Linked DNA regions of Oryctolagus cuniculus. The protein of the gene in region 6 purifies or fractionates together with the protein of the main gene of each other region. This does not show direct contact. Links are inferred from orthologs where the notes say so. Each region holds a gene or a part of one and is shown on either strand. Other genes may lie near its edges. The genes, in order: DVL3, LRP6, HIPK2, PPP2R5A, LRP5, AXIN1 and MAP3K1.

The links.
Region 1: the proteins of AXIN1 (region 6) and DVL3 purify together in Homo sapiens (affinity purification with western blotting; 3 studies listed by BioGRID and IntAct, with this or other methods). This does not show direct contact. The link is inferred for Oryctolagus cuniculus from reciprocal best matches to the Homo sapiens genes AXIN1 and DVL3.
Region 2: the proteins of AXIN1 (region 6) and LRP6 purify together in Homo sapiens (affinity purification with western blotting; 7 studies listed by BioGRID and IntAct, with this or other methods). This does not show direct contact. The link is inferred for Oryctolagus cuniculus from reciprocal best matches to the Homo sapiens genes AXIN1 and LRP6.
Region 3: the proteins of AXIN1 (region 6) and HIPK2 purify together in Homo sapiens (affinity purification with western blotting; 3 studies listed by BioGRID). This does not show direct contact. The link is inferred for Oryctolagus cuniculus from reciprocal best matches to the Homo sapiens genes AXIN1 and HIPK2.
Region 4: the proteins of AXIN1 (region 6) and PPP2R5A purify together in Homo sapiens (affinity purification with western blotting; 3 studies listed by BioGRID and IntAct, with this or other methods). This does not show direct contact. The link is inferred for Oryctolagus cuniculus from reciprocal best matches to the Homo sapiens genes AXIN1 and PPP2R5A.
Region 5: the proteins of AXIN1 (region 6) and LRP5 purify together in Homo sapiens (affinity purification with western blotting; 3 studies listed by BioGRID). This does not show direct contact. The link is inferred for Oryctolagus cuniculus from reciprocal best matches to the Homo sapiens genes AXIN1 and LRP5.
Region 7: the proteins of AXIN1 (region 6) and MAP3K1 purify together in Homo sapiens (affinity purification with western blotting; 5 studies listed by BioGRID and IntAct, with this or other methods). This does not show direct contact. The link is inferred for Oryctolagus cuniculus from reciprocal best matches to the Homo sapiens genes AXIN1 and MAP3K1.

The regions. Positions count from the first base shown.
Region 1 is NC_091435.1:93,733,808-93,737,911, reverse strand, and holds the start of DVL3 (segment polarity protein dishevelled homolog DVL-3), read right to left. Parts: upstream 2,801-4,104; 5' UTR 2,531-2,800; coding exon 2,370-2,530; intron 1-2,369. UniProt on the Homo sapiens protein: Involved in the signal transduction pathway mediated by multiple Wnt genes.
Region 2 is NC_091440.1:109,922,250-109,926,528, forward strand, and holds the start of LRP6 (low-density lipoprotein receptor-related protein 6), read right to left. Parts: upstream 2,801-4,279; 5' UTR 2,716-2,800; coding exon 2,661-2,715; intron 1-2,660. UniProt on the Homo sapiens protein: Component of the Wnt-Fzd-LRP5-LRP6 complex that triggers beta-catenin signaling through inducing aggregation of receptor-ligand complexes into ribosome-sized signalosomes.
Region 3 is NC_091434.1:184,453,268-184,456,767, forward strand, and holds part of HIPK2 (homeodomain-interacting protein kinase 2), read left to right. Parts: intron 1-1,686; coding exon 1,687-1,847; intron 1,848-2,434; coding exon 2,435-2,905; 3' UTR 2,906-3,500.
Region 4 is NC_091444.1:26,822,355-26,825,854, reverse strand, and holds part of PPP2R5A (serine/threonine-protein phosphatase 2A 56 kDa regulatory subunit alpha isoform), read right to left. Parts: intron 643-3,500; coding exon 446-642; intron 1-445. UniProt on the Homo sapiens protein: The B regulatory subunit might modulate substrate selectivity and catalytic activity, and might also direct the localization of the catalytic enzyme to a particular subcellular compartment.
Region 5 is NC_091432.1:4,147,557-4,151,056, forward strand, and holds part of LRP5 (low-density lipoprotein receptor-related protein 5), read right to left. Parts: intron 2,718-3,500; coding exon 2,394-2,717; intron 976-2,393; coding exon 776-975; intron 1-775. UniProt on the Homo sapiens protein: Acts as a coreceptor with members of the frizzled family of seven-transmembrane spanning receptors to transduce signal by Wnt proteins.
Region 6 is NC_091450.1:34,296,037-34,300,322, reverse strand, and holds the start of AXIN1 (axin-1), read right to left. Parts: upstream 2,801-4,286; 5' UTR 2,730-2,800; coding exon 1,852-2,729; intron 1-1,851. UniProt on the Homo sapiens protein: Component of the beta-catenin destruction complex required for regulating CTNNB1 levels through phosphorylation and ubiquitination, and modulating Wnt-signaling.
Region 7 is NC_091445.1:77,490,725-77,494,711, reverse strand, and holds the start of MAP3K1 (mitogen-activated protein kinase kinase kinase 1), read right to left. Parts: upstream 2,801-3,987; 5' UTR 2,775-2,800; coding exon 2,296-2,774; intron 1-2,295. UniProt on the Homo sapiens protein: Component of a protein kinase signal transduction cascade. Activates the ERK and JNK kinase pathways by phosphorylation of MAP2K1 and MAP2K4. May phosphorylate the MAPK8/JNK1 kinase.

The DNA.
Region 1 (4,104 bases), on a different chromosome or scaffold from region 6:
CTTCGGATCCAGCTCCCTGCTAATGTGCCTGGGGAAGCAGCAGACGATGGCCTAAATACTTGGCCCCTGCCACACACTTGGGAGACCAGATGAAGCTCCTGGCTCTGGCCAGGCCTAGTCTTGGTGATTGAGCCCATATGGGGAATGAACCAGCTGATGGAAGATCTCTTGGTCTCTGTCTCTTCTAACTCTGTCTTTCAAATAAATAAACCCTTTTTAAAAAAATAATAATCTTACCTGGAATTGCATGACTATGGCTTTAGATTTTGGAGCCAAATTTCTGATGTCTAATCAAGCTCTGCTGCTTACTCGCTGTGTGACCTTGGACAAGTTACTTGAGCTTTCTGTGTTCTCATTTGTAAATAGGATATTATGACCTATTTCATAGGGCTGCTATGAGGATTCAATGAGTGAAAATTTGAACAGCATTAGATCATTGCCTGGCACACTGGAAGGCCCACAAAGTTTGTCAAATAGATGAAACATATATACGCTCCTCAGCCGTCAATCCTCTGTGATAAGACGGCCCTGCCAGGTCTCCTGCTCATTTCCTTCAGGGGATACAAACAAGATCAATCACCTCCACTTCATTTTTAGCATTGTTCTCAACCCTGCTAGCATGGCCAGCTCTGATACCTCACAGAGAGAGGCTGTATGCAAGATGGCTCCAGGTGGCACATGAATAAATGTTGCTCAGTTCAATACTTATCTTTAATGTATTTTATAAAGAAATATACCTAAGAAAACTGGCTCTGTAATTTAATGTCTTTGAGTCAAGCTAAGAAGAATACAGAGTGGACTGACAGTGGACTTAAAGAAAAACAGTAAGGAAACAGTGAGCAGGGAGTCCCAGGCTATGGCTGCAGTTAGGGAAAGGGAGAGGCAGCCCCCAGAGTCTAAGCTTCAGAGGCGGGGTCGGTGAAGGGTGGAAACACAGGCCTAGCCTAGTTCCTCCAGGCATCTGGCCCTGTGCACTGGACTCTGGCTGCTTTCCCCCAATCCTGTATCCCAAGGTGGCATCCAGGTCTCTTCCAACCCCAGTCCTTTCTTGCCAGGCTAAGGCACCCAGCCCTTAGCCCCTACTCCTTCCAGATTAATCCCTCAGAATCTACTCATCAGGGGTGTCTGACACCAGACAATCATTACCACACCAGGAGTACCCCACCCCAGGGCAGGAGCACCAACAACACAAACAAGAGTGAGCCCCACACTTCCCACTGTACACAACACTTTCACGCACACACTTCCAGGGGCTCCTCACACCCTGAGTTCCAGGGCAGAAGGTGACAGCCAAACATGCCAGACAGACACAGAGGGTGCGTGCTTCCTGGGGCTCCCAGGGCCAGGGCCCTGGGAGGGCAGCCAGACTGACGAACAGTGGGGACAAGAATGCCTCCCCTCACTCAGCTCTGGGGCCCCAGGCTAGGGCTGAAGAGGCCGCCGCTGTGAGGCCCAGGGCCCAGTAAGTGTGGGGCAGGCTAGTGTGGGGGCCTCCCCCTCCCCCAGTCCCCAGGGAGTTGGGAGGGGGTGTGTGAGGGGATCAGCCAGGCTCCCCCTCCCAGGCCAGCTGCTAAGAACCTTTCTCCAACATTCCATCCCCTCTTAAAGGGGAAGTGGTTGCTTCCAAACTCTGTGGGTCCAGAGCCCTGCAGCAGGAGGAGCCGCCACCAGGGAGGGGGACAAACACCATGAGCTCTTCCTGGCCCTGCCATCCAGGTTCTGAGGCCCTTCCCAAAGTCCACCTTGGCCACGGCGGGACAGGAAAGGCCCCAGTGCCCAGGGATCAGCACCTGGGTTAGTGAGGACTGCTCCTCAGGGGTCAGGCACTCTGTTCCCTTGGCAATCCCCGAACTGCCCGCGGGCCAGAGGGGAGACAGCTAAATAAACATCAGGTCTACAGGCCCAGCTCCCAGCCTGGCGCCGAGCATCCCCCAACGCCCCCTCCCCCAGTTCAAAGTCCCACGGCGGGGCCCTCAGATGCAGGATACTCCAAATATGGGGAAGGCGAAGGCCGAGTGCCCAACACCCAACACCCCAAGTCTGCACTAAAAAGGTGGCTCCCTTGCAGGACGGCGCTGGGGGACCAAGGCTTTGGAATTGGGTGTGCGGGGGTGTGTCCCTCCGTGTGGTCTCTGAGGAGGTGGGGGGGGGGCTCGACGGGCAGAAATGGGCTCTGGGAGAGGGGACGTCCCCCCAAACTAGGAAACCAAGATTCCCCCCCCCCCGAGAGGTGAACGGGGAGTGTCCAGAGCGGCCCGAACCCCGGCCTTTGAGAAAGCCAGGGGGTCGCTCGCTGGAAGCCAGGGTGACGCGGGGAAAGCCGGGGGAGTTGAGGCCGGCCCCCGAGGCAAGGCGGGGGCCACGCTCACCCGAAATCGTCGTCCATAGACTTGAAGAAGAACTTGTAGCTGGGTCGCTGCAGGACGCCCTTAAAGTCCGCCAAGGTGACGCGCTCGGCGGGCAGGGGCAGCTTCACCAGGTACGGCGTCTCCTGCCCGTCCAGGTGGTAGATGATCTTAGTCTCGCCCATGGCCCCGGCTCGGGCCCGGCGGCCCGCGCGCGGCCTGCTCGGGCGGCCGGGCCGGGCCTCTCGGGCGGCGGCGGCGGCGGCGGCGGCGTTCGGCGCGGCCCAGCGGCTCAGCCCAGCTCGGCGGCCGGCCGCGGCGCCAGCTCCCTTGTTCTCCCGGCGCTCCCGGGTCCCAGCGCCGCCCGCCGCGGCCGCAGCCGCCGCTTCCGCCCCCCGCTCCCCCGGCTGGGCTGGCGACCGCGACTCTTCCGGTGGCCGCGGCCCGCCGGGCTCGGCGCTGCGGCCCGGCCGCCTCCCCTCCCCCGGCCCCGGCGTGGCCCCGCCCCGGCACGGCCCCGCCCCCCGCCGCCGCAGCCGCCGAGCGGCGCGGCCAGAGCGGCAGATGGCCGGCCCCGGCGGACTCCCTGGCCTCCGTGACCCCGACCGCGCGGCGGCTCCCGGGCCCCAGGCCCCCGGGGCGGAGGGGCGGATCTCTCGGGACTGCCGCGTCCCGGGCTCCCGCTGGAGCGGACCGGCGGTCCTCGCTGCCCTGCCCGAGAGGGCTGGAATGCAGGGGGCGCTTTGGGCTCCGGAGATGGTCTGGGGGAGGGGGTGGACCTGACTGGATCGCGGGAGGACATTATCTCAGCGTGGCCCTCCAGGGTCCGCTGAGGAGCCCCGCCGCGGTGACTGAGCTCCCTGAGGGCCTGACGGTCCCGGGATTCTGACGTCTCCTCAGAACCTCAGCGTCTGGGAGCAAAGTAGTGGCTTAGGTGAATGGATTGCATGAAGAATGAGCCTATGCGTGCATCACTGGGCCAGTCAGCCTCGAGTGGGAGCTAGGTATAATCGGTTCCTAACAGGCCTCCTCATCCCTTGGCTTTTAATTAACGTAATACATTTCGAGTGCGTACTAAGGGCAAGACATGGAGATAGAGCAGTAGCATCCAGGGCCTTCACTCACCTGCCAGGAAGCACCGAGGCTTGGAAATGAATAATTTCTTAGTGACAAATGCTATGGAAAGATACAATGGGGTACTGTGATAGTGACAGGAACAGGAGGACTCTGGGTAGTCAGAGAAGGCCTTTTGCATTTGAGTCAAGACCTAAAAATAACAAGCAGGAAGCGGCCATGGGATGGGGGCAAGAGTATTCCATGGCCACTTAGAAAAGCTCAAGGCAGGAAGAAGCTTAACTCGCGTGAGGAGCAAGAAGGCGACTGTGCCTAGAGGGACTAGGTGAAGCTAGAAAGGTAGGCAGGGCGAGATCACACGCAGGGAGATCACAGGCGGCAGTACGGACACTTTGTACACTTTGCCAAGTTAGCAAGCAGCACTTTCACTCACCTCTTCCACTGGGAAACCTCTCCACATTCCATAATGCTTTCCCAATATCCTTAACATTCATATGATCCTGGATATATATTTATTTGAAATGCAGGGGAGGAGAAGGGGAGGGAACAGGAAAGAGAGAGAAAGATCTTCCATCTGCTGGTTCATTCCCCAAATGCCTACAATAACCAGGATTGGGCCAGGTCAAAGACAAGAGGCCAGAACCCCATCCATGTCTCCAAATATTTGAGCCATCATTTGCTGCCT
Region 2 (4,279 bases), on a different chromosome or scaffold from region 6:
GTAAATTCATCAGGTAGCTATCATCAGCCACATTTTACAGGTAAAGAATCTGGGGCTCAGAGAAGTTTGCTATGAAGTAGTAAAGTTTGGGCTTTTAACCTAAGATTTTGGTATTGAAAAATATCCCCAAATGTTTCCACTACACCTCATCACCTCATCATCCAATGGTAGGAACAGGACACAGCCTGGGAAATAATATTCCCTGGATTTCAGCTACTTACAAAACAGGGCTACAAGAACAAAAAGTCTCCCAAGCTCTTTCTTACACAATCCATCACATACCCAATGGTAAAGCTCCAACTCTTCTGTGAGGAAAAATGACCTTGATGAAACAAACTAGTCACACTTTTCTCCTTGGAGTCCAAGGCTGACTAAATATCATTTTTGTATCTGTAGATGACATTATCAAGGAAGGAAGACAATCTAAATTATGACCACTTCACATCAAACATAATTTTAGTTCAAGTAACAAGCACACACTGCTAAATGCTGGTAAACAGAAAAGACCACCTCATACCATTATGATGCTACAACATAAAATGAGCTCCACTTCTTAAACTATCACCTCTTCTAGGTCTTGCTACACAATATAATACTTCAAAACATTTCTCCAAATGCAACCTCTCTCAACTCCAATGAACACATCCAACTCTGGGCTCAAACCTGGTGTTAAAATAAATTAGTAGCATTTACATCACACTCTTCCCCTCCAAGAAATACAACTGGGCAACCAGAAGAACCCCCAGGTTATGGGTTTAGACTTCCCCAAGACTCCTGTAACCATCTGGCATTCTTTGGTTAATTCTATTAGCCTTCTGTCTTAAAATATATGTGCACAGGGGCCGGTGCCAAGGCTCACTTGGTTAATCCTCCACCTGCGACGCCAGCATCCCATATGGGTGCTGGGTTCTAGTCCCGGCTGCTCCGCTTCTAGTCCAGCTCTCTGCTGTGGCCCGAAAAGGCAGTGGTGGACGGCCCAAGTGCTTAGGCCCCTGAACCCCGTGGGAGACCAGGAGGAAGCGCCTGGCTCCTGGCTTCGGATCTGCGTAGCGGCCTTTTGAGGGGGGTGAACCAAGGAAGGAAGACTTTTTCTCTCTCACTGTCTAACTCTATCTATCAAATAATATATATATATATGCACAGCCCTATGACACATACGATTGTTTCTCACAGTTACAGCTGTGAAACTTTCAACAGTGACTGTAACAGTAAAGTACAGATACTATACTGATTATAACGCCCAAGTACATAACATAAAATTGCATTACATTCTCTGGGGTTTACCTGTGGAAATGGACCGTCTGGATTAAGTGTTAATCGTTAAGGATAAATGTAACACGCAATCCTAATAGTGGTGCAGAAGAGTAAAGAAAATATCCCTTCTACATCAAAAAGGTCAGTTCCTGTCACCCAAAAATACATCCACACATGCGCACAGAAACGACGCATCTGTCACATTTCTAACACAAGATCGTTGATTACTGTCATGTGCTGTACCTGGTAAGTTTGGGAGGGCTTCACACAACTTGTCTGTTACATCAGTAGCTAGAAAACCTCCAGAGACCTCACACCTGCGAAGACCTGACCAGGACCACGAGCCAGAATTTTAACAAAACCACAACTACCACACTTTGGACTTTAAATTCCTCCGCTGGGAGCTGCTGAAGAGCCCGGGACTCCTCTCCACAAGTTTTGAGAAGAGCTGTGCAAAACTTGCGGACCAGCCCAAACCCAGTTCACACACGAGAAGTCACAGCCAGCGTGTCAGCACTGCAGGGCAATGCAACACATCCCGGGACCCCGGAATGGAAGCGACTCCCGGAGTAAATTACCCAGTCTGTGTTATTTACCCAAGTACCAAGTAATCCCCCACCCCCACCCCCACCCCCGGGGTGGGGTGGGGGTGCGCAGCAAATGACCATCCAGGTCCCAGGACTGGGGCCTCCGCATGCAAGCACAACTTTCCCACTCGCTGCTGCCAACTCCGCAAATACCAGGGCTTCCCAGAGCCACGTCGGTCTCGGAGCACGGGCCGCCGCTCGGGTGATCCCTACGCTGCCACGCTTGCCCTATAACCCCGGAGTCACTTTTCCAACTGTGCCCTCGCCCGGGATCGTCCCAGCCCAAGCGGAAGCCAAATGATCAGTAGCAACCAAGGCCTGGAAAAATCGCCAAGAGGGCTTAGAAAGTTCACCTGAGAGATCGGGGGAAGGTGGGGGTTTCCAGGGCGCATCTCGGACTCCCCACGTTTTTGGTTTTTGTTTGTTTTTTTAAGCCGAACTCGGAGCAAAGCCCCTTTCCCCTGAGGACGCCCGGCGGCCGGAGGCGCACACTCAGTCATTCCGCCAGAGCCGGCGGCCAGCGCTTCCCCGAGACAGGCAGCCCGGAGGGACGCGCAGCTTTGTCCACGCCGAGGTCTGCAAGGCCGGGCTGGGGTCTGGATCGTGGCCGGGCGGAGCGCACAGCCCCTGCGCCCGGGCCCCTTTCTCTCGCTCCTTCCCCACGACCAGGCCTCTCGGCGCTCCTCTTCCCCTCTCCTCCTCCCTCGCTCCCCTCCCCCCCAGACACACAAAACAAGGCCACCTCCCCCCACCCCCAAATCCCACCAACTTTCCAGGGCGCCCCCCCCCCCAGCCCCGCGCCGCGCGCGCTCTGCCCACCTCTCAGGAGCACGCAGAAACTGCAGGCCAGGAGGCTCCTCAGCACGGCCCCCATCTTCCCGGCTCGCGTTCTCTCCTCTCACCGGCGAGAGGCGACCAGATGAGGGGGAGGCGAGGAGCCGGGGCGGCCGCCGCAGCGGCAGAGCTGCGCGATCATGCTCCCCGGCTTCCCCGAGACAGAAGAAGAAAGAAAGAGGCACGTCAAGGCTCCGCGCGCGCCGCCGCCGCCGCCGCCCTCTCTACCGCGCCGCTCTGCCCCGGGCTCGCGCGACGCCAGCGTCTGCTCCCATCCCGCCGCCTCCTCCCCCGGCGCCCCACTTCCCCCGCGCAGCTCCTCATTCAGCCTCTTCCTCTCGCGCAGCGGCGCAGGGATACGGCCGCCCGCCGTCGCCAAGGGTCGCCGTGGAGGTCTCCCTGCGCGCGGCCGAGCCCCCCTCCCGCGGCGCCGCTTCCCGCGCACTTGGGCAAAGAAGAGGAAAACCGCGCGTTCGGCCTCCGCGGCGAGACCCCGGGAGATGCGTGGGGCGAGCAGAGGCGAGCGGCTCCAGGAAAGGCTGCCGGGCCGCGCATTCCGATGGGATTCTTTCCCGGGCTGGCCGCCTCGGCCCTCCCCGCGGAGGGCGTGAGGCGACGTCGAACAACATTGGAGCCGGCGTGGTCGGGACTACTTTCTGCGGCTCGGCCGGGCCGCCCCCGGCCCCGGTCTTTGTGCGGCGGACGCCGGACGAGCCAGGTGGAGCTCCCGGGGTGCGGCGGCCGCCAGCGGGGCCTGCGAGGTGCGGGGGGCCGGCGAGCGGGTCCACGCTCCAGGAGCCACGGCGGAGTCCCTCACGGGGTAATGCACTCGGTCTTCGGGGTTGGAAATCAGTTTGAACACCTTTTTTTTTTTTTTAAGGAAAATAAAAACCAACGCTGGTCACACCAGCTTTAAACGTGGATCTGCTGAGGTAGGTTCACATGCCAAGGCCGAAGTGCAATTCTTGTTTTCCTCCTGCCTTCCCAGAGACACCTGCTCCCCGAGTGAAGGCCGGCAAGACGTAAAAATGTGTAAACTGGAGGAGTAAAATTTCCAAGACGAGTGCATGGGCACCTAAGCCTGCAAAAGGGACAGTTGGACAAAGCTGAGTTTGCATTTAATAATGTGTGATTGGCACGCTTTGATGGTCGAGGCTCAGAAGGAAGAGATCCCCCAGCGCTTCGGCTTTTGCACAGCCTCTGGCTTCTCCCAGTGCACAGAGCCGTTGGGGAGCAGGGGCGTAGACACCCCTTGAAATCCCCCCAACACCCCGACAGTCAGGTGCCTTCTGTGCAGCTGTCACCCACCCTTCCCAGAAGGCAGCCGGGCCAGGAAATGCAGTCACTCCCGGGATCTTGCTCACACCCCAGAGACACTGGAGTTCACCTAGTGCCGGCACGTGCACGATCAGGTTTGAGGCTCGAAACATCCTGGGATGCGCAGGTGTTGACGCTTAGTGTCTTCATTGCACCCAGAAGGAAAGTAAGCTGAGAGGTCCGGTGACTTACCCAAGGCCGCTCAGGCAGGGACCTGAACCCAACCCGGGTCAGTGACTTCAGACACTGCCCGCCCAGGAAACACATGCTGGGGTCGAGGCCAGGCA
Region 3 (3,500 bases), on a different chromosome or scaffold from region 6:
ATTAATATTTAGCACCCGCTGCCCCTGGAATGGCCAGATCGCCAGTTTAGCGCTGACTGCCACGGGATACCTGCTGACACTGCTCTAGGCTTCTGTTTTCCTCCGAGACGCTCAGGCCCCGCGTCCACCGCTGTGAAATGTGACCTGTCTCGGGGTATTCTGCGACCCATCCTTGCCACTTCTCCTTGCGGGTCACTTTGCAGGGTCTTCTCTTGAATGCCTCCTTGGGCACCCTCCTCAAAAGCATGTGTCAGAGCTGGGGAGTGTGCAGCAGCTGTCTGTGCGTGGGGAGCGCCCCAGATCCCCTGTGCCCCATGACCGTGTGACCTCGACTTGGTTTCTCATCTGGCTGTGCTAGACACAGGTTCTCGAGAATATTGGGTTTCTAGAGATGCCTCCAAGGGGGCCAGCATTCTGCATCCCAAGTGCTGTGGTCCCACCTGTGCCCGCCCCATGGAGTCCCCGCTGCTGGGGGCCGGCAGGCACAGACCACTCAATGCCAGAACTGACCGACAAGAGTTATTTCACAGAAATGTCTGTGCCCTCTCGTTGTCATTCCACAAAAGGCCCGCAAAATCAAAACCCTAAGTTCCTGTGCAAAGACGCAGTCTCCCCTGTGTCGGCCTGGTGCTGTTGCTGCAGCTGTCCCGGTGGTTGGCCTCCGGTGCAGGGCTCTGGCCAGCCCTCTGGGTGCACTGATCTGAAATTTCACTCCAGACCCCCTCCTGTAGACAGGGCTCTGACCGGCCTGTGGCCGAAAGCCTGCGTGAGCATTGGCTGGTGCTGGCGGCAGACTGGGCGAGCAGCAGGCCACTCCACATCGGCCCACCTGACTCTTGGACACGTGACCCTGCCAGTGGGCAGTTAGCTCTGAACTCGGCGTGTGGTGGCCCATCAGCCCCCTGTCTGCATGACCTACGCTCCCTCATTCCCACCCTCAGCCTTCTCTCGGCCGCTCCTGAGACACGGCAGGACCTCAGGAAGTAGTTGTGGGATGGGTTAAAACAGCCTCTGAAGGGGCCTGGCAGGACCTCTAGGAGCCATCCTACCTGCAGTGTCACCCGGCTGCTCAGGGCCCACCCACCAGCAGTGTCAGCAGCACCCCAGGCGCCTGTTAGAGTGCAAGCTGTGGAGCCCCCTGCTGGCAAGGAGCCCCGCGTCTTTCCACCTGGGGCCTCTTGCGTGTAGCCCGGGAAGAGCCCTCGTGTTTGGCCATGCTCGGCCCTCATGCCTTTCCCCGCTGACTACGTCTCATCCAAGAGACCAGACCGGGGGCTCCGAGGGGCCGTTGCAGCCACTGTTGCTCACCTTGGTTGCTCCTAGGCACAGTCTGCAGTACCTGCACAAGGGCAATACCTGCCGAGGGCACTAACAGGAGTCCCTCCAGCCGCCTCCCAGATGCTGGAGGCCACGTGGCCAGGGAGGGCCAGCATCAGCCCCCCCCCCCCCCGGCTGTCATCTCTCTCTGCTTCTCCTGCACCTGTCCCCTCTTTCTTAGCTTTATCCCCTCATTTGCAGCCTTGGCCACCCTCTAGACCAAGGGCTAGACAGCTACAACCCAGCTGCCCACGCAGAGTGAAGGCCAAGTCCTAGCTGAGTCTGGGGAAGCTGAGGCCAGGGTTGGCCTGGCCAGTGTGGGCGTCCTGGAGAGCCCTGACCTGTGACCTCCTCTTCCTCCCGCCACAGCAAACACCAGTCACCACGCGTCCTCCTACAAGCCCAAGTCCTCCAGCAACGTGACCTCCACCAGCGGTCACTCTTCAGGGAGCTCCTCTGGAGCCATCGCCTACCGACAGCAGCGGCCAGGCCCCCACTTCCAGCAGCAGCAACCCCTCAATCTCAGCCAGGTGAGTCCCTGCCTGATGGCCGGCGGCCCCCACGGCAGACCCTCACACCCCACAGAGAGCGGCACGGGGCGGAGGCTGCCCCGGCAGGGTCGCTCGTGGGGAAGCTGACAGCACTGGTGCGTGGGTCGCACAGTGCTGCCTCACCGTGGCAAAGCACTCGTGACTTGGTGCCGAGCTTAGACTAGGAGCCCACAGAAGGCTGCCTCCCCCAGCAGAGGCAAGACACCAACCAGGGAGAGCCCTGCTGTGCACCTCACTGCGGGGCGGGGCGGGGTGGGGGGGGGACACACTCCAGAGACCCACCCAACCTAGGGCAGGAGAGTCCTAGCCTCAGCCATGTGTCCCAGCAGCTTAGCTTCTCCAGGTAGGAGACAGTTGATGGAACTGCCCATGGCAGCGTTTCCGAGGGCGCAGGCTTCCTGCCCGGGGACCCCAGCCGGTGAGGGGCAGGCCTGCTTGCTCCACCCAGTGCAGGCTCATCTTCACTCGCTCCATATCCCAAGGCCAGCACCCCTGTCCCTCCTCCACTCCCGGCCTCCCCCGTGTACCCCCTCACGCCGCCCTCTCTGGGTGCCTCTGCTCCGCAGGCTCAGCAGCACGTCACCACGGACCGCGCCGGGAGCCACCGACGGCAGCAGGCCTACATCGCTCCCACCATGGCTCAGGCACCCTACTCCTTCCCGCACAACAGCCCCAGCCATGGCACTGTCCACCCCCACCTGGCCGCCGCCGCAGCTGCCGCCCACCTGCCCGCCCAGCCCCACCTCTACACCTACACAGCGCCTGCTGCCCTGGGCTCCACCGGCACCGTGGCCCACCTGGTGGCCTCCCAAGGCTCGGCGCGCCACACCGTGCAGCACACTGCCTACCCGGCCAGCATCGTGCACCAGGTCCCCGTGAGCATGGGCCCCCGGGTCCTGCCCTCTCCTACCATCCACCCCAGCCAGTATCCAGCCCAGTTCACCCACCAGACCTACATCAGCGCCTCTCCAGCCTCCACCGTCTACACTGGATACCCACTTAGCCCTGCCAAGGTCAACCAGTACCCTTACATATAAGCACTGGAGGGTGGGGGAGGAGACGGCGGAGAGGGCGGGAGGAGGGGTGGGGGAGGAGACGGGGCCAGAGAGGGCGGGGAGGAGGGTGGCCAGAGCTCCTGGGACCGAGGAGGGAGCTGGCTTTTTATGCTGAAGACACCGCACACAAACAATGCAAATGGGAGGGGGCGGGGACTGGGACGGACGCAAAGGAAACTTGAACCAGGAAGTGAGGAGGACTTAGAGCAGAGAAGAGAACATTTTAAAAAGGAAGGGATCAAGGAGGGGGAAATCTATGCTTTTTATTTTAAAAAAGAAAAAAGAAAAAAAAATGTTGGCAACAAAAAAACACAGCTCATGCACCCACTCTGCACCAAACTGGAAAGGAGAAGAGAGCCACAGGAAGATCCCAGAGGGGCCCAGTGTGGGGAGAACTTTTATCTATGAACTTTTCAAAGATTATTTTCATACGACGGCAAGTGGCATTGAAGAACTTGCTGTCAGGGACACCTGCTGTGCAAATCCAATAGATTTTTAATTAACTGAACATACGAATTAGGGATTTTTCCAGAACTCTAAGAGTCGACACCCCCTCCAGAATGAGGAGGCTGACATT
Region 4 (3,500 bases), on a different chromosome or scaffold from region 6:
CTATGGAACAGCCAGGACTCCAATTAGCGCCCATACAGGATGCCAGCACTGCAGGTGGTAGCTTTACCTGCTATGCCACAGCGCTAGCCCCAGCTACTTCTTAAATTGGAAACCCCCAGAGTTTTTCCCAGAACTATCATTTCCACTTAAAAATTCTCTCTCAGTGACTATTCTATTCACTCCCATGATATTAATTACCAACCCATATAATCTGAAGTATATATCTTTCCCCTAAGCTCCAGCTCTGTACTGTGTAATATGGGAACCACTAGCCATTGGCTATTGGATTCTCAAACTCTTGCTAAGCAATGAAAGCATCAGTGGAACTGATGATAACCTTTCATGTGAGCTGTTATACTATTATATATTAACAGTCTTATTAATTCATAATTACACCTCAAATATTACTTGACTTTGTAGGAGAAACATAAATCCAGAAGCTTACCATTTTTACTATAGCAGAGTATGCTGATTCAACAAGTACACCACGATTAGTGGAAACATACTCAACCAATTCATTCAACGTTGCTCTTTTAATTTCTTTGCTCCTCAAGTCTGAAACAGAGTCCATGAAATCGAATAGTACACAACACTGCTGCAACTTCTGACAAAAAAGCTCTTGCTGTTCATTTGAAGTGGCATCTATAAAAAAAAAACATAAAAATAATTTACTCAGAAGTTACCTTTATTTAGTAACTTTTCATAAGTTATTTATACACAAAAAATAAAACTTCAGAAGTCTAGTGACAATGTACCCATCTAACACTGTTATTTAGGGACTTACAGTAGACTCTTCAAATTATATCATTCAATGCTATTAAAATAGTCTAAACTATCTGGAATCTATCTTGTTCTTCTAATTTCCACTGCTCTCATCATCCCTAACTGTCTTAATTGTCCCTTTTGCCTGGTCCCATGACCACTACCTCTCCTGATTTATCCTATCCTCCAAACTATTTAAAAAGCTGAAGTCTTGCTAAAATGAGAATCAACAGAATCATATTAGATCTTCTCAATGATCCTTCAATAATTAGAGACTGAAGTTCAAACTCCTCTGAACTGTACACACAAGTGTAGCTGCTACTGTCGTGAGTCCCTTCTGAGTTCATCCCAGCATGCTTCTCACCCTGGTTAACCTGTACTCCCTGCAATTCTCTGAAGATCGTACATTGTTTCCTCTGCATAAAATATGCCCTTCTGCCCACAGTGCCACCCTGGGAACTCATTTATCACATTGCAGGGAAAGTCCCTTCTTAGAAATTTTTGTTTTGGTCCTGAAACTACATTGGCTGGTTAATCCACTTCTGCCCAAATGTATTTTAGGCACATAGCTCTATTTAGTATTTATTGTGCTACATGCCATTTATATTTCACATATCTGATAAACCATGAGACTCTGAAAAATAGGAACCAAGTGTTACTTATCTAATTCACATCCCCCCCACCCCCCTTCTCTCTTTACTTAACCAGAGCCTGGCTCACAACAGGCATTCAACAAATGCTTTACCTTCTTGTTTCCACCATACAAAAATAAATAAATAACAAAACTTCAAATTTGAACTTTTCAAATCCATAAACTAGGACCTTCAATTAGGTCAATTACTTAAGTTTCTTGAACTACTGATATTTTTAAAGTCACAATGATATTTAGTTCATAATCTGCTCATAAACTATTCCATTTTTTAAAAAGATTTATTTATTTTAAAGACAGAGTTACAGAGAGATAGAGAGAGAGAGAGGTCTTCCCTCTGCTGGTTCACCCCTCAAATGGTCGCAATGGCCGGAGCTGAGCTAACTGGAAGCCAGGAGCCAGGAGCTTCTTCCCGGTCTCCCATGTCTCCCAAGGACTCATACTCTGCTGCTTTCCCAAGCCCATTAGCAGGAAGCTGGATCAGAAGTGGAGTAGCAAGGACTCGAACCAGCACCCATATGGGATGCCAGCACTGCAGACAAGGGCTTTAACCCGCTGTGCCACAGCATCAGCCCTTATTGTTCCATTTAAAACCAGTACCTACTTTATATAAAGATACAGGTAGAAATCTACAGAAACATAACCGGGGCTGGTGGTGTGGCACAATGATGCTGGTTTCAGTTCCGACTGCTCCAACGCCAATCCAGCTCTCTAATGCTCTTGGGAAAGCAGCAGAAGATAGCCCAAGGACTTGGGCCCCTGCACCCATGTGGGAAACCTGAAAGAAGCTCCTGGCTCCTGGCTTTGGCTCCTGTCTCTGCTGCAGCCATTTGGGGAGTGAACCAGAGGAAGGAAGATCTGTCTGTCTCTCTATATATAATTCTGACTTTCAGATAAGTAAATAAGTATTTTTAAAAGTTGTTTTAAAAAATGACAACCTACCCAAGGAGGCCTGTGCTCATATTTCTCTGGTGCAGAAAACTACTAAAGTTACTCTGCAACTATTTAAGTTGCTGTCCTTAAAAAGCTGATTTAGTTAAGCTATTCCTTAAATGTAACAGTTCAAATATTCTATGCCCCTTCACTGATAGATGACAAATACAGTATATTTTCATTGGTCAACTCTACCGATAATTTAAAACATAAGTTTTACAGTAAAACATATATTGAAATATTGTAAAGGGCAGTAAAATTCACATGAATTTTGAAATAAAAATATGAAGACTCTAAATAAGTTCTTATTTGTGACTATGCAGTAAAAACTTCTTGTTTAACATTTTGTTCCAGAATCATTAATAGTTCTCTGTGCTACACAAAGCTGAGGTCTACAATTCTAAGATCAGTATTCAGAATCTACATAACATTGGCAGATATGACATTTTTTACTATGATTCTGGCTAAGTTTTTGATTTAGGGTCACCTTCTATGGAACTGTTCTGAAGTAGGAACATTTTGATATATCTTTTCTTTTAAAAAGACTATTAAACTTTAAGCTTTTTAAAAAAGATTTATTTGAAAAGCAGAGTTGGTGAGAGGAAGAGACAGAGATCTTCCATCTGCTAGTTCACTCCCCAAATGACTGCATGGCCAAGCTGAAGCCAGGAGCATCATTGTTCAGGTCTCCCATGTGAGTACTGGCCGTCGTTTGCTGCTTGGCCCATCTGCTGCTTTCTCAGGTACATTGGTGGAAGCTGGATTGGAAGTGGATGAGCTGGGACTCAAACCAGCACCAATACGGGATGCTAGCATTGCAGACAGCAGCTCAATCTGCTATGCCAAAATGCTGCCCCGTGCTGCTGTTTTTAATATCAACTAATGTGTTAAACAATTATCTGTAAATTAAATTTCATTCTATTGGGGATGTGAATGAAACACCATGTAATAAACACACTATGTCATGTGTTCACTATTCTAGTTCCCACTCAAAAGACAATCAAGTCACTCTAAGCAGAATCTGCTTGTTCTCTGCTAATCTGTGTCTTGAATGGTTTTTCTTAAATCTTCTGAATTTCCCCCCAATTTAAAGGTGAAATAATTATATGCATTTAACTTTACTTAATAAATGATGTTCCCTAATACTGGTACTAGT
Region 5 (3,500 bases), on a different chromosome or scaffold from region 6:
CAGAAACGTGCATGAGGCAGCCCCGCACTGCCACAGCAAACCCCCAAGGAGCCAGCTTTCCTGCGAGGGCAGGTCAACGGTCAGCTCACAGTGAGGGGGTTCCAGGCCAAGACCACACAGCCCCATCAGCACGGCCTCCAGTGAGGGCAGCGGCACGCACGGAGGACGGGGCAGAGAGGGGCCAATCCCAAACTCGGGCTCCATGAGGACCCTCTGCAGAGCTCGAGGGGCCACACCCCACGACCTGAGGCCCCCCTCCAGGGCCCCTCCCAAAGGCTCGGCCGTCTGGGGTGAGCGCCATCCTGGGCCCCGGGCCTCTGGCACAGCAGGCCGTGGCGGACACTCCACCTGCTCAGCAGACACCGGAAACCACCCAGAAACCAGGAACGGGCAACGGAAGCAAGCTTCCCGCGGCACAGGCCTGCGCCGGGCGCTCCACGGACGGGGGACCCTTTGCTTCTGGGGTTTTGAGCGCTGTGCCCCAGCACTGCTTCTCCCATGAGCCCTGCGTGCTGTCGGCACAGAGCACCGACGCACAGGCTCACGGGAGAGTGGACCACGAGATAAAGGATAAATGGGCGTGACCAACAGCACCCACGCCCACGCAGGCACGGTCGCCCTGCACAGGGGGTCTCCCCCGGGCTTGGCCAGGCCCAGGGTCCCACACGGCTCAGGATGGCACCTGCCAGTGACGTTACCGTTCACCCTGACCAGGGCCAGGCTGCACAGGGGGCGGCGGCCAGGGGTCTCCCCACGGAAGCGGCGGTGCACTTGCCTGGGTGCCGTCGTCCTTGGCGCGCCTGATGGTCTGGCGCCCGTCCACCCAGTAGATGAACCTGTCCAGCGGGTCGTAGTCGATGGCGCGGACGTTCCGCAGCCCGTGCAGGGGCAGGACGAGGTCCGGGCTGCGCTGGTCGTCCGGGATCATCCGGCTGATGGCACATTTCTGGCTGAACAGCAAGAAGGCGGTGGGCGCTGGAGCAAAGCAAAGAGACCAGTGGGCGGCACGTTGGCGCCCGCAGGCTGCAGGGGACGCGGCCAGGACAGGCAGATGGACGGACAGGCGGAAGGACGGACGGGTGGATGGACAGACGGACAGCTGGCCTCCCTCCCGCTGGACTCTGAAAAGCACACCCGCACCTGCACGGCTGGATGTCCGCGGAGGAAGACCACAGGACAAAGGCTGTGCCCCCCCGTTGTGTGCAAGGGCAGGTGTCAGCTCTGAACCGGGGACGGCATTTACCATTAGAACTCAGGACCAAAGGAAAGGAATGGCAGCGAAGCCCCCACTCAGAGCCATGAACACGTGTGTCACCCACGAGTAGCCTGCGGTCCACCCACGCACGCCCATGTGGGCGGCTGACGGCACCAGGAGGGGACGGGCCTCGGGGAGTGGGGCCGGTGAGCCGCAGATAACGGGACAGCAGGGAGCCGCGTGCCGACGCCTGGAAGCCCAGTAAGGCGCAGTCTCCCTGCGGCCCTGGGTCTTGGTTTTCAAGGGAGCTGGGGCCTGGGGGCGCCCGGAGCTGTTCCTGGGCCTCCTCAGAGTGACACGGGGACACAAAGAACCTGCTTCCCAGGGCCCCTCCTTCACGGCGGAACGGGTCCAGACAGGAGCCCTTGTGGCCTGGTGCAGACATGGCACTCGGCCCGCGTGGAGGCCACCCCAGGGCACGCGTCCTGAAATCCAAAGTGTCATCCCAGGTCTGCCGGCCGCGGAGAGGGAACCCAGGTGACAACATCTGCTCCTGGCCCTGGCACGGCCTCCTGAGCCCCCAGGCTCACCCCCGGGAGGGCCATGAGCAGCGGGGTCACGGGGAACCGGGCTGCAGGGAGCCAGGCCCAGCGCCGGCCAGCTCAGGGCTTGCACGAGCCCAGGGCAGAGAGGGCCCGGGTGACGCCACGCTGTGAGAACTGTGGCCTGCGGCGCGGAGCTGAGCTACGGACACTGCAGCTGTCACAGCAGTACCCACAGCAGGGACACAGGAAGTCACCCCTGGCTCCTGAATGTCCCTGTTCTTATCACTGTAGAAGAACAAGATGCCCCCCCACACACACACACACAGAGGCCACTAGGAGACGGCATGGCCGCCCAGAGCCAGCCCGAGCCCAGCTGTGTGGCCTTGAGCAGGTGACCGCACCGCTCTGTGCCTGGGGCTCCTTGTCTGGGAATAAGCAGGGGCCGGGGGAGTCCCTCGCTGAATGCATGGAACAGTGCAGAGCGCCCCCTAGAGGTAGGTTTTCACATCCAGAGATGCCTCACAGACCCCATAGCTCGGCCGAGGCCACCAGGCAGCTCCACCGACTCTGTGTAGCGCACGACCTGCTCAGCCATCCCCGTGCACCCGGCTGAGGAGCCCCACGGCCCGGCTGCTGCAGGGGCAGGCACTCACGGCTGCAGTTGTGGGTGCTGGGGTCCAGGGTGTAGTGCGAGGCGCAGCCGCAGCGGCGGCCCCCAGGGATGGCGAGGCACAGCTGCCCGCACTGCCCATTGCCAGGCACGCAGTCGTTCAGGCCGTCCTGCCGCGATGAGTGGAACACCAGGATGTCCATCACAAAGTCCAGCTGGCCCTGGATGAGGGTGCGGTTGCGGCCGCTGGTCTTGTCGGCCCGCTCGATGCTGTGCAGGTTCCAGTCGGTCCAGTAGATGTAGTCGCTGTACTGCGTGAGGCCGAAGGGGTGCGGGAGGTCGTCGGCGATCACGACCCGCCCCTGACCTGCGGGGAGACCGCCCACCCCCGCGGTGTCAGCACGGCCCGGCCGCGGCACCCACGGGCTCACCCGCAGCCGAGCCTCCCCGCCAGGGGCCTGCACGCATGGCACCGTCCCCAGTGCCAAGTCCTACAGAGAGCCGCAGGCCAGCAACCACCCAGACGCCGGCCCCCAGGGGCCCCCCAGGGGGTCTTCACGTGACAGAAGTGGCCCAGGAACAGAAACCACAGCCCACGGGCCAGGTGGGAGCAGCAGGACACAAAACAGCACCTGCCATAGGACATGCTTCTAGAAGGTTCTGTGACAGCAAAGCTTATCCACCCAGACAGCACCAGAGGCAGTGACGGGCCGAGGTGGCTGCTGGGACACGTGGGGAGGAGCTGGGGGCTGGGAGCAGGGGCGGGGGCGCCAGAGCCGCCCCCCGTCTCTGAAGGAGCCACCTGTGCCGTGCTCCTTCAGCGCTCTGAGCTTGGCCGGCTGCACGGCACTGGAAAATCCCATTTTAACAAACCAAGCTCTGGGGTCCCCCAGCCTGGGCCACCCGGCTCCCCACTCCTGAGCACGTGGCCGTGGGAAAGCCCTGTCCATCAATGCCCGCATCTGTAACACCAGCATCCCCTGGGCGCTGGCTCAAGTCCCAGCTGCTCCACTTCCGATCCAGCTCTCTGCTGTGGTCTGGGAAAGCAGTAGAAAATGGTACAAGTGCTTGGGCCCCTGCACCCGCGTGGGAGACCCAGAGGTGGCTCCTGGCTCCTGGCTTTGGATCAGCTCAGCTCCAGCCTTTGTGG
Region 6 (4,286 bases):
TGGTCCACGTGCTTGGCCCCTGCACCCATGTGGGAGACCAGGATGAGACTCCCGGCTCCTGACTCAGCTCACCTAGTTCTGGTAGTTGTGGACACGTGAGGAGTGAACCAGCAGACGGAAGATCTCTCTCTCCCTCTCTATCTCTGACTTTCAAATAAATAAATCTTCAAAACAAAAAAAGTTTAAACCTTAGAAATGCTTAGTGCTGTTTTATCAGAAAGCAGCCGACTCCTCTGTCCCAGTGCAGAGAGGAGAGCTGGTCCAGTGCACGGCAACTGCACGGGCAGCCGCGACACTAAGGGGCGTGTCCTCCGAGTTCTGTCTAGATCAGCAGGGGCCACCCAAGCTCCAAGCTGTCAACGCTGCGCAGGTGCCAGCTCCTGGGGACAGGGGGGAAGCGCAAGAACTCTGCTCCCAGGAGGAACACACACCAGCAGCAGCCCAACGGCTCCCTGTAATCACGGAGGGTCACGGGAAAAAAGAAAAGCCGCGGTTCCAAAGCTCTAACACTGGGGACGCCCCAGGTGTCCACACAGGCGGGAACAGTCCAGACACCGCGGGTGCCCTCACCCATGGGAGAACACAGGCGGGAACAGTCCAGACACCGTGGGTGCCCTCACCCATGGGAGAACACAGGAGGGAACAGTCCAGACACCCGTGGGTGCCCTCACCCATGGGAGAACACAGGAGGGAACAGTCCAGAGACACCGTGGGTGCCCTCACCCATGGGAGAACACAGGCGGGGACAGTCCAGACACCGTGGGTGCCCTCACCCATGGGAGAACACAGGCGGGGACAGTCCAGACACCGTGGGTGCCCTCACCCATGGGAGAACACAGGCGGGGACAGTCCAGACACCGTGGGTGCCCTCACCCATGGGAGAACAGAGGCGGGAACAGTCCAGACACCGCGGGTGCCCTCACCCATGGGAGAACACAGGAGGGAACAGTCCAAAGACACCCGTGGGTGCCCTCACCCATGGGAGAACACAGGCGGGGACAGTCCAGAGACACCGTGGGTGCCCTCACCCATGGGAGAACACAGGCGGGGACAGTCCAGACACCGTGGGTGCCCTCACCCATGGGAGAACACAGGCGGGGACAGTCCAGACACCGTGGGTGCCCTCACCCATGGGAGAACACAGGCGGGGACAGTCCAGACACCGTGGGTGCCCTCACCCATGGGAGAACACAGGCGGGGACAGTCCAGACACCCGTGGGTGCCCTCACCCATGGGAGAACACAGGCGGGAACAGTCCAGACACCGTGGGTGCCCTCACCCATGGGAGAACAGCCAAGGTCACCCCCTGGGTACTGTGAACTCTGCGCCTCCCAGCAGCACTGCCATGTCAGGCAGGCAGAGATCTGACCCTGCGGCTCCAGCCACAGCTGCAGAAGTCTTCAGAGGACCTGGCAACCCCCCACACAAAGGTCTCAGCACTGTTCCTGGCCTCTAGGGAGCACCTCAGCACGCCACTATCGCGGGGAATGATCCAGAATTCCCCAGCTACCAGTGCATTCAGACGGCCACTCCTCCCTTTACCAAGCCGAAGCACGAGACCCACCCGGTAAGCCCCCAGGACTTCAGAGCGGTGGGTCTCAGTGCAGGTGTCAGCAGTAGTGCTCACGACCTCCACACCCAGGCTTCTTATCTGTTCTTGATCAAGGCGTTCTGGACAACACGACCATAAAAACCGCTACTGAACGTGCAAGTACCACGCGTCAGAATCAGAGTCCTAAGTCAGCCCCAAGGGCAGCCGGGCACTCAGCCCACTGGTCGCCCACACCTTGCCCTTGCCCGCTCTCCAGGTCTCAGGCGAGGACCGAAAAGGGACACCTGGTGCCCACTCACCTGAACTCTCTGCCTTCGCTGTACCGTCTCCCTGAGGAGGCCCTCGGGGCAGCCGTCTCCATGAGCAGCTTCTGGGTGAGCCTGCTGGGAGGCGCCGCGTCCCGCGCTTCCTCCTCGTCCGTGTCCTGGTCACACTTCCACTCCTCGTCTTCATTCAGAGTGGGCAGGTATCCAGACAGGCCCTTCCCTGTGCCTGACCCAGAGCTCTGGTCACTACAGACCTTTGGGCTCTCCGAGCCTGTCCTCGTGTACTCCAAATAAATGTCAGACTTGAGGAAGGAGGGGTAGGTGTTCTCCTCCATGGTGGCCTGGATCTCCGTCTGGGCCTGGTCGAACATGGCGGGGTCGACCTGCTGCCTCACGATGCAGTCCTTGATGAAGCTCTTGGTGGCCGGCTTGGTGTGCCTGGACACGATGCCAGTGCTGTCCAGGATGTACTTGCGGTAGATGGCTCTAGCCAGCTTCAGCCTCTTCTCCTCATTCGCATCGCAGGGCTCCAGCTTCCTGAAGCCACTGCAGGCAAACCAGAAGTCCAGAAGGTCAGCACAGCCCTCCTGCTTGAGGAAAGTCCTGAACAGGCTGATCCCGTCTTGATCGTCCAGCAGGGAGTGCAGGGACTCGGCCCACTTCAAGTATGGCGGCGTGGGAGACGCACTGCCCTCGGGCTCATACCCCAGGTCCAGATCCGAGCGCCTTGGAGTAGCCGTCGAAGTCTCAGCTTTAACGCCAGCAGCTTTGCCGGAGCAGAAGCTGTGGCTGGCGGGCCTCGGGTCTGTGGACACCAGTTCTCCCTCCTCCCCAGGCACCGGGGGCCGGGGGGCATCTTCGGTGAAACTTGCTCCGAGGTCCAGGGGGAAACCCTGCTCCTGGACGCTCATCGTGGGACTCTGTGCGGCAAGCGACAGCGAGCGCCGCCCCCTAAAGCATCCGTGCTCGCAGCTCGCGGTGAGTCAGGCCGTCCTGCGGGAACCAGAGAGGACGCGGGTTAGGAAAAGGTGGGCCCCCGCACACACGGCCGAGGGGCTCCCTCCAGACGAGACTGGCGATGACCCAAAGCCAGAAAGTCCGTGTACAGTTGAAACGGAGACACATTTTGGCCGCAAGGTTTGCTCCACATCAAAACAATCCCTGCAGACTCCTACAACCACAGGAACGCTTCTCATGCCAAGGGAGCACCCAGAGCACAGAGAACGCACTGCCTCCAGCAGCACTCTGAGCACCGCAGAGGCCCTCCGAGCGGGCCGAAGAGCTGAGTGAGCAGGAGGGCAGGAAGGCCGGTGGGGGGGGGGGGGGGGCTTTCAGGTGAGAGCTGGTCCCTCACACACCCGGGACAGTCACCCCAGTCAGACGACACGCAGATGAGAGGGGGAGCCCCGACACCCACTGCGGGGAGGCCGCTCTGGCTCCCACACCGGCCAGGCCCACAGCCAGGGTTCCTGCCTCCTGTTTCACCTCACACACGGGGGCCGTGCAGCACGTGCGAACAGACCGCAGGAGCAGCCGACCGGGGGTCACCTTCAGCACCACGAACCCGGGGATGGAAAACACCCCCCACGCACAGAGCAGCCTTCCCCACGCGGCCTCTCTCCTAAAAGACGCACTCAAGAGGCAGAGGGACAAGCAGGCAGAGGGCTCCCCTCTGCTGATTCACTCCTCAAACGCCCACAACGGCGGGGCCGGGGCCGGGGCCCGGCTGAAGCCAGAAGCTGGGGATTCAATCCAGTCTCCCACATGGACGGAAGGACACAACCTGGCACAACACTTGCTACCTCCCAGCGTCTGCGAAGACAGGAAGCTGGAATCAGAACTGGAGCTGGGAACAAGCAGACGCTCTGACACAGGACACCAGGCCATGTCTGCCCAGGAAATGCCCTCCTGACAGCAAACGGTACCCAGGGACCTCCGGGACAGAAACGATTTAGAAAAAAATGAAAGGCAAATGCAACTGCACTGCTAAGGAACCATGCAACTCACAGGACAACTCTAGAGCAACACCAAGCACTCAGCCCCTTGGAGGCCGGGGAACTGCGAGTTTTGGGTGCTGCGCCCACAAGGGACACGCAGACTTTGCTAGATCATGACACAGTCAGGACTCTGCCACGGTCTCTGGCCCTTCCTGCCATGCCCCTCTCAGCCCCACAGAGACCATGCACCTGGCAATAATGCCTCTCGGCTTAGCCAAGGCACTGACTGCAACACAGCCCGGCACAATGTAATCAGTTCTGGCTAAAAGTTAGCTGGAGAGGGGCTGGCACTGTGGCGCAGCTGGTAAAGCCGCCACCTGCAGTGCCAGCATCCCATGTGGGTGCCAGTTCAAGTCCCGGCTGCCCCACTTCCGGTCCAGCTCTCTGCTGTGGCCTGGGAAAGCAGTGGAAGATGCCCTAAGTGCTTGGGCCCCTGCACCTGTGTGGGAGACCTAGAAGAAGCTCCTGGCT
Region 7 (3,987 bases), on a different chromosome or scaffold from region 6:
TTTTGAGACAGAAGGGATTTCCAGACCTTTATTATTGAAACACAAAAATACTTCAAAATCTCAGTGTTAGAGTTTTGAATTGAAAGTATGAATGTAATTCCTGTCTAAAAAGCAAAAATGTAAAGTTCAATGGAGATTTTAATTGAATTTTTATCATCAAAATTTTTTCTAAGACTACACATGGTATAAATAAAATCATGCAATATAAATAAGTAAAAGAATTTAATGCCAAGTAATTTCTCCATAATCAGTTTTATACCAATAAATTCAAATAAATTCAATCCTCATGTCAAGGAAATGGGGGGAACACTATATTTCAAAAGTATAAGAAATCAACATTTTATTAGAATGAAATCTTTACATAACATGTAATCTTTACATATAACCAACGGCTTTCTGGCTAATAAAAGTAAACAAAAGATCATATTTGTCTGTTATTTTACATACTGTGCCATAACACACCTCTTAGACAAAGGGAGGAGCCTTCATAACTACACTGTAAAACCAAAAATTAAGCATGGACGACTCAGTTCCTCAATTCTGTCTGCTTCCACCCCAGTCTTCTCGGTCTGTGTCAAGGGATGACACTAAACAAGTTTTGTATTTACACTGGTTGCTCTTATACTACATTTACAGCTCATGAAAGTGAATAGAGGGCTGATGTTTGCCAGATTATTTATCCGAAAACCTAGGTCTCATGAAATTAGGTAAAATTAATCTCTCAAACTGGGGATTAAAAAGTTCACTTGCAGTAACAACTGCCTTCAAAGAGTGATACTAGTTAAGTTTGAATCTAATCCACATAGAAACAGGAAAGTACAGGGGAATGTTTTTAATGCCAATTTACACGTACAAGTGCACACGGAAAAATACCAGTCCCAGACCTCCCCTCCGTCTCAACACTGCCATGGTATGGCGCTGAGCATAGTTTTAAGGTTTCTTTGGGGGGGGGCACATCCACATAATAAACTGATTTTAAAGAACTGACCAAAGGCACAAAAAGTGCCACTGGCTTTAGATATCTAAGCAAAACCACAGATTCCCACTGTCAAACTCCTCACAATAAAACACACTTCATTCCCATCACCAAGTTCCAGAATTCCAAAGGGCGACGAGCGACTGTCACAAAAACATTTCCTGCAAGACTTCGCGCTCTGCACACACTAGTCAGATTCCTGTGACCACGATCAAGGATTACGGCTGTCACACTCACAATCATCTTACACACACACACTTTGCAGGAGCCAAAGCAGGGCGAGGCCAAAGCACAGCGGGTCCCAATGACCTTCCAGACACGCAGCGGAGGGCTTCCCCGAGCCGCAGCCCGCAACACCGGCGCCCCAGAACTGCGGGCAGCCCCGCAGCCGCGCGGAGCAGGAAGCACCGCGCCCGCGCCGCGGCCCCGGGGCCACGCCGGAGGGACTGGGGAGCCGTCACCGCCGCTTTCAAACTGAATGGCTGACACATCCGGTCCTGGCTCCGGCACCACTCCGCCGAACGCAAACTTCAAAGGCCACATTCAAACTCCGAGCAGGGATCCCTCGCGTCTTCGCGGTGCAACTTTGCATTCCCGAAGAGCACCCACAGACCCCTGGGGGACGAGGTTCGAAAACCCGCACGTCCTGCAAGGCTGCAAGCGCCCACGAGCCTGCAGTCCGTGGAGCAGCGCTTTGACAGGGGTTACCGGGCCGTGCACCGCGCCCGGGACCGGCTCCCAGTACCTGCCCTGAGACTCCAGGCCCCCGGCGGGCCGCGGGGCGCTGCCTGTCACGTCCCCGGGGACCTGCCGCTTTCTCCTCGGCCCTGCCTCTCTGCCCCCACCAGCCCCGACCTTGGGCTCCCCACCCACCCTGCAGCACGATGGGGCCTCGCCCCCCAAGCCCCCCGCCCCGGGGACACCGTTTTGGGGCGCCGCGGCCGGCCTTCTCCCCGCCCCCTCGGCTTGGCCTCGGGACGCCGCGCCCTGGCTCCTCGGAGAGCCCCGACCTCGGCAGCCCCACAAAGCCAGCCGGGGGGCCCCCCACACCTTTTCGCCACGGGTCCCCGCAGCGCGGCTCGCACGCCTGTCACATGTCTGCAAACAATAACAAACTCCCGCACGCCCCCGTCCCGTGCCCCAGCCGGGGTTCTGGGGCGCCGCCCGCCTCCAGAGGGGGTCGGGGGAGTTTGGGGGCGCAGGTCCCGGCGAGCAGCGCGCGGTCCCGCTGCGCCGAGCCCCAGGACGCCGTGCGCGCCGCCCGGGGTTCATTCATTGCCCGTCCGCCCGCCCCCCCAAGTCCCCGCCGCGCTGCTCACCCAGCGGGGGCCACTGCAGGAGGCTGCTCTGCGGCGGGCGCCCGCTTCTCCCCGGGCTCGGCCCCCGCGGGGCTCGGGGCGCCTGTGTCCGGCGCGGCCGCCGGCTCGGCAGGGTGGGCGCCGCCGCCTGCCGCTCCGTGAGGCGGCGGCACCGCCACCGGCTGGAAGCCGCTCGCACCCGCCGCTGCGTCCGAGGGCTCCGGAGACGGAGACGTGGAAGAGGACGGCGGCGAGGCGCCGAAGAAGAGCGGCGGCTCGGGCAGCTGGTCCAGCTCCACACTCCGCACTTTGCGCAGCTGCCGCCGCCGCCAGTCCGCCCGCTCGCGGCCCGCGCTGCCCGTCTCCCGCAGCAGCCCCGCGGCTGCCACGGGCGCGCTGCCCGCCTTGAGGGCCCCTCCGCCGCCGCCCGCCTCGGGGCTCGCCGCCCTGGCGCCCGGGAATCCCGACGACGAGGCGCGATTCCCCGCCGCCGCCGCCATTTTCTCTCGCGGGCTACATTCGCTCGGCCCCTGCGAGGGAGGGAGGGGGCGGGGAGAGCGCAGGGGGCGGGCGGACGGACGGGCGGGCGCTGCGCCGCCGGCGTAGGGCCGCTGCGCCAACTGCGTGAGCGCCGCCCGCCGGGCGCCCGGCCTGGGTGACGGGCGTGCGGACTGGCCCGCGACGGTGGCGGAGGCGGCGGCCGCAGGTGGGAAGGAGCGGGCGTTGCGCTCGGCCCCGCGCGGGCGGGCTGCGTGGGCTCGGCGGTGTCGGCTGCGGGGGCGCTCTGGGCTGTGCGCGTTGCCCCCGCGGCGCTGCCAGGTAGTGCGGGCCGCACCGGCGACAGGAGGAGCCTCGCGCCGCGGTCTCGCCCCGGCTTGCCCGGAGCTCGCTACAGAAATCAATGCACTGGAACTCGGGGGTGCGGTCCGTCAGCCGCACGGCCCCTGGCTGTGAGCGTCGGGGAACTCGGGCGCAGACCGGCCTCCCCCTACCCCCAGACCCTGCCGCGGCTCCGCTCCGGAGGTGGCGCAGGTGGTGCCCGGGGCTGTCGCACGCTGCAAAGCGAAAGCAAACCCGGGGTGCTGCGGCCCGAAAAGCTCAAGTTGTGTTTCGGCTTAAAGACAAGAGTGCCTCCCCTCAGGTCCCCTGCCCCACCGCGCCGTTCCCAGGGACGAACACGAGAGCTGCCCGTAACACCTTGTCCACCTCCTGACACCGCCGGGCGCGAGGGAGACCCCGAGCGGCGGGGGTCCCTGCCGCTGTCTCGCTCGGCCTCGAGCCGCTCCGAGCGCGTCTGGGGGCAGGAACCAGCGCCGTGCCAGGAAGTGCGCGCTCCTGTCACCCGCGGCCGGCGCCCGGCCCTCGGCGGCTGCGACGCCGCTCGCCGCACGTCTCTCTCGCCGGCGGGACCGGGCGGCCGCCGGGGTCCCCTCCGCCCCGCGGGCCCTGGGAGCCTCCGCGGAGAAGCTCACCTTTGCGTGTTAGCGGTTTTAGACGCCTACCCCCCCACACCCCTATTTTTTTTTTCCCCCGACAGAGCTCTGCGTCGCGTTTCTGTCCCCTCTCGTCTGCGCTGGGCAATCTCCCAGGAGCAGCGTCTCTAGATTTATTGTGCGGAGTAGTTAATGGAAGCATCGGAGAGGGAGCTGCCCTCGCGTAGAGACGAGGGAGCCTTCGTGCTGGTCTTCGTATACAGCTATACCTGAACCGTCT